2 linked regions of the Sus scrofa genome follow. The protein of the gene in region 1 purifies or fractionates together with the protein of each later gene. This does not show direct contact. Links are inferred from orthologs where the notes say so. Each region holds a gene or a part of one and is shown on either strand. Other genes may lie near its edges.

What was found.
Region 2: the proteins of DUSP2 (region 1) and MAPK1 purify together in Homo sapiens (affinity purification with mass spectrometry; 4 studies listed by BioGRID and IntAct, with this or other methods). This does not show direct contact. The link is inferred for Sus scrofa from reciprocal best matches to the Homo sapiens genes DUSP2 and MAPK1.

What each region holds. Positions count from the first base shown.
Region 1 is NC_010445.4:47,051,147-47,055,498, reverse strand, and holds DUSP2 (dual specificity protein phosphatase 2), read right to left. Parts: upstream 3,057-4,352; 5' UTR 2,946-3,056; coding exon 2,558-2,945; intron 2,461-2,557; coding exon 2,348-2,460; intron 1,925-2,347; coding exon 1,705-1,924; intron 1,587-1,704; coding exon 1,372-1,586; 3' UTR 683-1,371; downstream 1-682. UniProt on the Homo sapiens protein: Dephosphorylates both phosphorylated Thr and Tyr residues in MAPK1, and dephosphorylation of phosphotyrosine is slightly faster than that of phosphothreonine. Can dephosphorylate MAPK1.
Region 2 is NC_010456.5:50,138,537-50,142,340, reverse strand, and holds part of MAPK1 (mitogen-activated protein kinase 1), read right to left. Parts: intron 2,409-3,804; coding exon 2,226-2,408; intron 708-2,225; coding exon 518-707; intron 1-517. UniProt on the Homo sapiens protein: Serine/threonine kinase which acts as an essential component of the MAP kinase signal transduction pathway. MAPK1/ERK2 and MAPK3/ERK1 are the 2 MAPKs which play an important role in the MAPK/ERK cascade.

The sequences.
Region 1 (4,352 bases):
GAGCGCCTAAGTCTATGCCAAGGGACCTGTCCTCCACCCCAAACACCCAACCAAATGTTCTCTGGGGACAGGAAGCTTTGGATCAGGGGCTGCCATGAGCCCTGGCAGGGAGGGCATTCTGAGGCCTGGGGGCCCAGCCTGGGAAAGTGGGAGGTAAGAGGCTATGTTGCCCTGCTGTGGGCACAGGTACACACAGCCCAGGGGAGCCACACCCAACAGGCACACACAGAGACATGGGTGTGTGCAGGTCAAGAACACACAACCACACCCACAGAAGCTGTCACAGACGGCTGCACTCGCACTCACATGCATGCATGGACGCACATGCATGGACGCACACGCACGCACTCACACTCACACAAACAATCCAGAAAGTAAGTAGGTCTGCCCAGGGCAGTGCTGGATCCAGCTCTGAAGGGTACACACAATCTTGTCCCATAGGACCAAAGGTGGAAACTGGAATAAGGCCGGAGCCAGCCTCCCAAGAAACCACGGCTTTCAGCTCTAGAGACAGAAGGCTGCCTGAGAAAAGACACCAGCCCCAAGGGGACCAGGGCAAGGAGGTGAGGTCACTCTGTGCCTTCCTCCTTCCATTTTCCGCACAAAGGAAGGTGAGGTCTGATTGAGAAACGGCTTTTGAGCACTTTCCCAGGCACCAATTGGAGACCAGACACTGGAGAAGTTGTTTCTTAAACAAAACAATATTTTATTGACACATCTTCAATGTTCCATATAAATATAAAGTGCTAAGTTTCCAACCCAGCCCACAGGGCTGGGAGGAAGTGGGGGAGGGAGTGTTAAATGTCAGTTGAACACAAATAACTTTCCAGCGCCAACACAGGCGTGAAACACTCACACTCACACACACACACACACACACACACACACAGGCAACCAAGAGGTCCAGACACGGCATCTGCCTTACTTCCCCAAGCCCCGCGCAGGGCTCAGGCTCCAGGCCTCAGGGTGGACCACCCCAGACAGGGCTCCTGGTTGTCACAGCTTATTCCTTGGAGCCCTCAGGCCTCCAAGGGCTCTGGCATGGTGGGGCCAGTGGGAATCCATGGGTGTAGAGTCCAGTTCATTTCTGCCAGAGGACGGAGGAAGAGGGAAGCAGAACAGCCTCCATTCTCCTTCCAGGATGAGGACTGAGGGCCAGCCCTCAAACCCCTAGCAGAAGAGCACCAGGTGAGAAAGTCCAGCATTGCCGTATCCCCAGCGCCTCCACCTGGGGCTTTTCAAACTCCAAGGAAGGGGCCGCTCTCCTTGAGGTGGGGGGTGCAGTGGGGGACTGGGGCCCCAGCTGTCCCCAGGAATCAGGTAGCCCTGTGCTCCTGGGCCCTGGGGGAGCCAACATGGTGGCGCCCAGCCTCAGTGACACAGCACCTGAGTCTCAAACTGCAGCAGCTGCCCCATGAAACTGAAGTTGGGGGAGATGACTCCCCTGCGTTGTTTAACAAAGTCAAAGGCCTCATCTAGACGCACTCGACGGTTCTGTATCAGGTACGCCAGGCAGATGGTGGCGGAGCGTGAGATGCCTGCCTGGCAATGTACTAGCACCCGGCCTCCACTGTTCTTCACCGAATCTGCAAAGGAAATGGGAGAGAGGGGCGTCAGACAGGAAGGTGGGCTGGGCAAGAGACAGGTGCCCCAGCTCCTGCCCCTGGAGCCCCGCTAGGTCCCACGCCAAGGCCTGCCTCTTACCAATGAAGCCGATAGCCTCCTGGAACCAGGCACTGATCTCCACCATCTGGTTGTCCTCCACAGGGATGCTTTTGTAGCGCAGCAGGCCCTCAAAGTGGTTGGGGCAGCTGGCCGAGACATTGAGGACCGCAGTGATGCCACAGGCCTGCAGCCCCTGCAGGTCAGATGAGTGGCTGCAGCTGCCCAGGAACAGGTAGGGCAAGATCTCCACAGGGCCACCCTGGAGAAGAAGAGGCAGAGGCAGCGGTGAGAACTCAGCTCTGGCCTAGAGGGCTGGAGCACCGCGGTGGGTGGTTGTTGGGCATAGACACCGTGGCAAACCGGCCAGGGAAGAGAAACCCTTAGCCAGTCCTAACCGGGAATCAGACATGGGGACACGCAGAGATATACACTCACAGACAGACATTTCCCCCCAAGCCCCCAAATTACGCTGCTCATAGGACAGACACAGACTCTCCGAGATGCTCACGAGCAAGTAAGGCATACACAAAGGTGTTCTCCCCTTTAGGGGTGAGGACACACATACACAGGTGACTGTGGGCATAGACAAACTCCTGCTCCCACAAATGGCAGACTCTTTCCCCAGAGGCGCCTACCCTTGGGGTCAGCGGGACATTGACAAGGAACCCCGATCTCAACTCACCTGGTCATACAAGGGAGCCCTGGGGTCGGGGCGGCTGTTTTCGGGCAGCATTGGCAGGGCGGGGGACTCAGAGCACAGATCGGGGCAGCAGGCCTGGAAGCCATCGAAGCCTCCTGCAAGTTGGATCAGGACACGGTTAGCCGGGAGGGCCCGTCGGGGTTCGGGGACGCGGCAGCCGAGGGCGGGGAACGCTGGCCGGCCGGCACTCACCTGGCAGGAAGTACACAAGGGTGGGCCCGGCGCGGGTCTCGTGCAGGAGCGCGGCGAGCAGAGCGTGGGCTGGACCGTCGGGCGGGAGCTCGGCCACCGAGGCGCTGCCTTCATCCAGCACCACGGCCCGCGCCAGCTCCCCGCGGGCCAGGCGCGCCCGCAGCGCGCGGTCGGGCAGCAGGCAGGCGAGGGCGGAGGCGGGCGAGCCGCTCGCGCGGCGCCGCAGCAGCGCGTTCCAGGGCACCGGCCGTGCGGTGCGCACGTGGCGGCGACAGAAGGCCAAGAAGGGGCGGCAATCGAGCAGCAGCGTGCGCTCGGCCTCCCGCGGCTCCCGCAGGAGCGCGCCCAGCGCCGCGCAGTCCAGCTCGCGCGCCGCCTCCAGCCCCATGTTGTCCGTCTCCCCTCCTCCCTCTCTTCTCCTTCCTCCCTCCCCGTGCGCGCTCCGGGCTCTCGCGGCGGCCGCGCTGCCTGAACCGTCTGTTCCGGGCTCTGACTGCAGTGCCCTGGCTTAAGTAGCTGTGGGCCGGCCTCCCGGGTCACCATACAAGGGCAGAGCAGGAAGGCGCCCGCGCCGCCCCCGCCGTCTCACGCGGGGTGCAGCCTGGGCGGGCCCAGGATTGGAGCGGGCTGGGGGACTGGGACGGGGGCGGGGCGCTGCGGTGGGAGAGGAAGCCCGGGACCAGCACGGAGGGTGTTTCCCCAGACGCCCCCTTCCCACCTAGGCGCCCCAGGGCTCTTCCTGAGCGCCCTAACCCTCTGACCTGACTTCTCGACTTCTCAGATGCACATCCCCCTCCTCAGGGGGCCGTGGTGCCCCTCGCTTCGCTTCCTCTCCCTTCTCCCTCCTCCCTCCCAGGATTTACCTTCTCCTGGGAATCTGTGACAACAAAAGTTTACATCTGTCTGTTGCCACGGGTGGTTTCCACACTGCTGGATGGGGAACCATGTCTTGATGTGCCTCTTCTCTTCTGCTTAAAAGACCCTGGTAGGGAGGGACTCTATTCCCCCACCCCCCATTTCCTGGCTGAGACCAGCCAGGGGTTTTGCAGCTGCTCAGTGGCCAAGCTAGGCCAGAACGTTGTCCTCTGAGCCCAAGACCCTGGCATGGCATGAAGAGGACCCCCAGGGCCTTGGCCTGGAGCGGGCAGGGGAGCCTGTGACGACTTTCCAGTTGGTAGAGCAAGGCTTCCTCCTCTGAAGCCCAGGGAAACTCCAGGGGCCAAGGGTGAAGCACTTCCCCAAGTCACAGGCCAGCTCTGAAGGGGAACTCTGCTGACGCTGCTGGGCTCTCCCTGAGGCCTTGTGGGAATTTCAGGAGCCTCACCAAGGGAAAGAGAGAGAAGAACTACCAGAATCTGCCTCCCCCGCCCTCCCCCGCCACTCCCACTCAGCCCCACCTAGACCTGCAGCAGGGGCCCTGGACGCAGGGACCCAAGCCTGGAGATGAGCAGTAAGACTGGGGGAGCAAGGGAATCCACATCCCTTCAGCCCGCCCCCACCCCTGAGGCGGATGTGGTGAGTCCCAGGTGTGCGTGGGGGTCTGGGCCCCTGGGCTGGGGCTAGAGATGTTGGCAGTTGAACTCTGAAGCAGAGACATTCAGGTCTGTGGGGACAGTACCCTGGAGTGGGAGCGCCCCCACCCCCATCTAGCTGCATGGGATTTCAGAACCCAAACCCCTAGGCCCCTCTCCCTCCCTCCAGTCATTACCCTGGGGCCTAAGGCCCTCCTGGAGACCCAACTAGTATCCATAAGCAGCAGCAGCTCCCATTTGACTCCTAGCCTGGGAACTGGCAT
Region 2 (3,804 bases), on another chromosome or scaffold:
AAAAAAAAAAGTCAGTTACTCATAAACATATGGGTTTATTTACTGACTCGGAGTTCTATTCCAGTGATCTATATGCCTACTCTTGATTGCCGCAGCTTGGTAGTAAGTTCTGAAATCAGAAAGTGTGAGTCCTATAACTCTGCCCTTTCATAAAATTGTCTTAGCTACTCTGGGTCTCTTGAATTTCTATTGCACTTCAGGATCAGCCTGTCCATTTTTGCAAAAGAAGCCACCTGGGGCTTTGATAGGGATTCCACTACATCAGTAGATCAAATTTGAAAACACTGCCATCTTAACAATATTAAGTCTTCCAATCCATGAACATGGAATGTCATTTCATTTATCTAGGTCCTCTTAAATTCAAGTGCATTTTTATTAGAATGAATCTACATTCTTTCATGATATCTGTGGCCCTGAAAAGAAAAATAAAATAAAAAATTATATATAAATAAACATTCTCCAGCAAAACGAGTTTTGTCCAATAAATATCACCCTAAGAGTAAATAAGCTGGCTGACCTTGAGATCGCAGGTGGTGTTGAGCAGCAGGTTGGAAGGTTTGAGGTCACGGTGCAGTACGTTAGCTGAATGGATATATTTTAACCCTCTGAGGATCTGGTAAAGAAAATAGCAGATATGGTCGTTGCTGAGGTGCTGCGTCTTCAAGAGCTTGTAGAGATCTGTTTCCATGAGGTCCTGTACTATGTATCTGTTTGGAAAGATTAAGGTAACACAACCAAAAGAGCTAGTTACACTAGCAAAGCACTGAAAACAGAAAGAATCCAAATGGTCCATTATTACATCATGAGGCCCAGAAGGGAAATGAGAAACTGATGGAAACTGAGTAGAGCTTAATGGAAGGAGTCCTGAGTAGCTGCTTCCTCCTGAGGTTCTGTGAAGTCTTCCTGCATTTCTTTTATTCATTTCTCTGTAAATACTATACGTCTCCTAGAGATTCATGCTAGATGAGACACAGTATGGGATTTGAAGAAACATGACTTAAAAACTAGTCATCTAAAAAAGACCTGATTTTCAAGGCAAAAGGTAAAGCAGGACAACAGGCGGCAGAAGGAGGCATTTCACTTAAAATATCACAACTTAGTAACAGAACTGTTTAAAAATGGAAAGACTGCCTAGAGACAGCGCACTGCCTCTCCCTGGAGGGGCGGACTGCACAGTGGGCAAGCTGGCAGGAATGCTGCACTGGCCAGAACCCTTTCTCCTGGCAGATCCTCCTCCAGCACACTTAACACTTCTTCTTTTTTTTTTTTTTTTTTTGTCTTTTTGCCTTTTCTTGAGCCGCTCCCGTGGCATATGGAGGTTCCCATGCTGGGGTCTAATCAGAGCTGGTGCTGCTAGCCTACGCCAGAGCCACAGCAATGCGGGATTCGAGCCACATCTGCGACCCACACCACAGCTCATGGCAACACCAGATCCTTAACCCACTGAACCTCATGGTTCCTAGTTGGATTCATTAACCACTGTGCCACGATGGGAACTCCGAGCACACTTAACACTTCTATCTTTCACATGCAGTCCTTACTCAGAAAGTATCCTCTGGACCTCCTGAGTCCAGATTTCTAAACGTTTGTCACAATTAATGACAACTTCAGACCTGAGATAGCCTTGAAGATCATGAAGGCTGTACCTCAGTTTTAACATGAGAAAACTGGACCCAGAAGTAAAATGACACTGAGATCAGGACAATCTCGACCTGACCAGGTGCTATACAGGGCCCCTTCTTTTAGTCTACTGCTCTTTCACCACAACAAACCATACCTTGAAAAGAAGTATCATGACTGGAAAAGGTGTTAACCAACATTTTCCATAACTACACTTAGAGAAATCTTTACTGAAACTGAGAAAATATAGAATAAACAGCAAAAAATATGCTAAAGCTACTAATAAAATGAATCAGAGAAAAAAAGTAAATGATGTGGGAGTTCTCTTGTGGTTCAGAGGGCTAAGGACCCAGCTTTGTCACTGCTGCAACTTGGATTGCTGCTTGGCATGGGTTTGATCCCTGACCCAGGAACTTCCACATGCTGTGGAAGAAGCAAGGAAAAAAAAAAAAGTAAATGATGCAAGTGTTATAGTAAGTGGCAAGCAGAGCAGAGTTTCCCCTTAAACATGTTTGACTACTTTTCTTCCACCACGATAAGTGGAAGACTTGATGTGTACTCAACCAGGTGATGGAGCAGTGGAGTCCACAGCCTGAAAAGGATACACATCTTTCATCTGCTCGATGGTTGGTGCTCGAATGATATCATTGATTCCAATGATGTTCTCGTGTCTAAAGCGCAGTAAGATTTTTATCTCCCTCAGGGTTCTCTGGCAGTAGGTCTGATGCTCAAATGGACTGATTTTCTTGATAGCTACTCGAACTTTGTTGACATTATCATAAGCAGAGCTGAAAAAGAGGGGAGATGGCATTAAAAACAGTTCTCAGAACACCCTGGCAGAAAGAACACAAAGTGAAGTATTCTGCTTAGAACTCTGGGCAAATACTTGTTTCACATGCATGAAGGCAGAATGCATATCACCCACAAAGAGGCCCTAAGTGAGGGAGGACATAGCAGGATGCCACAGTACACACTATGTATCTCAGAACCACCAGAGGGCCTGGCCCTGGAAACTGTATGGACACCAAATTTCTTTCTTTCTTTGGCCATACCTGCAGCATGCGCAAGTTGCTGGGCCAGGGACTGAACCTGCCACAGCTGTGACCAGAGCCACTGCAGTGACAACAGATCCTTAACCCACTGAGCCACCAGGTAACTCCTGGTTGCCCATTTTCAAAACCCCAGGAATATGGGTGGATTCCCCCCCCCCATTTTTCCCACTGTTTTTAACAGCAGCTGCATTCCGGTGAGAGGAATCGTTTCTGCCTCCATAACAGCTTCCTACTACTGTATCAGATTCCACTGACTCAGCAGAAATATTCCAATGACCATCAACTACATCTTCACCCCTAACAAAAATGGACCCAAGAGGGCAACAGGGATCTACTGCATAGCACAGGGAATTATAGCCATTATCTTGGAAAACTTTTAACAGAATATATAACCTATAAAAATACTAAATCAGGAGTTCCCATCATGGCTCAGTGGAAATGAATGTGACTAGTATCCATGAGGACCCAGGTTCGATCCTGGCCTCTCTCAGTGGATTAAGGATCCAGCATTGATGTGAGTATGGTGTAGGTGTAGGTCATAGACACAGCCTGGATCTGGCATTGCTATGGCTGTTGCACAGGCCAGCGACCCCTTGCCCGGAAACCTCCATATGCCATGGGTTCAACCCTAAAAAGACGAAGACAAACACCCCCCGCCCCATCATTATTCTGTACACCAAAAACTAAGTACTATTTAGTCAACTATATTTTAATGAAAAGGGGGATTGTTCCCTGGTGGTACAGTGGGGTTAAGGATCTGGCATGGTCACTACTGTGGCTCAGGTTTTGTTTTTGTTTTTCGTTTTTTTTTGTCTTTTTGCCTTTTCTAGGGCTGCTCCCATGGCATATGGAGGTTCCCAGGCTAGGGGTCGAATCGGAGCCGTAGCTACCAGCCTACACCAGAGCCACAGCAACACAGGATCCGAGCCGCGTCTGCAACCTATACCACAGCTCACGGCAATGCCAGATCCTTAACCCACTGAGCAAGGCCAGGGATCGAACCCGAAACCTTATGGTTCCTAGTCGGACTCGTTAATCACTGCTCCACGACGGGAACTCCCTGTGCGCAGGTTTGATCCCTGGCCCCAGAACTTCCACATGCCGTGAGCGAGGCCACCCTCTCCAAAAAGAA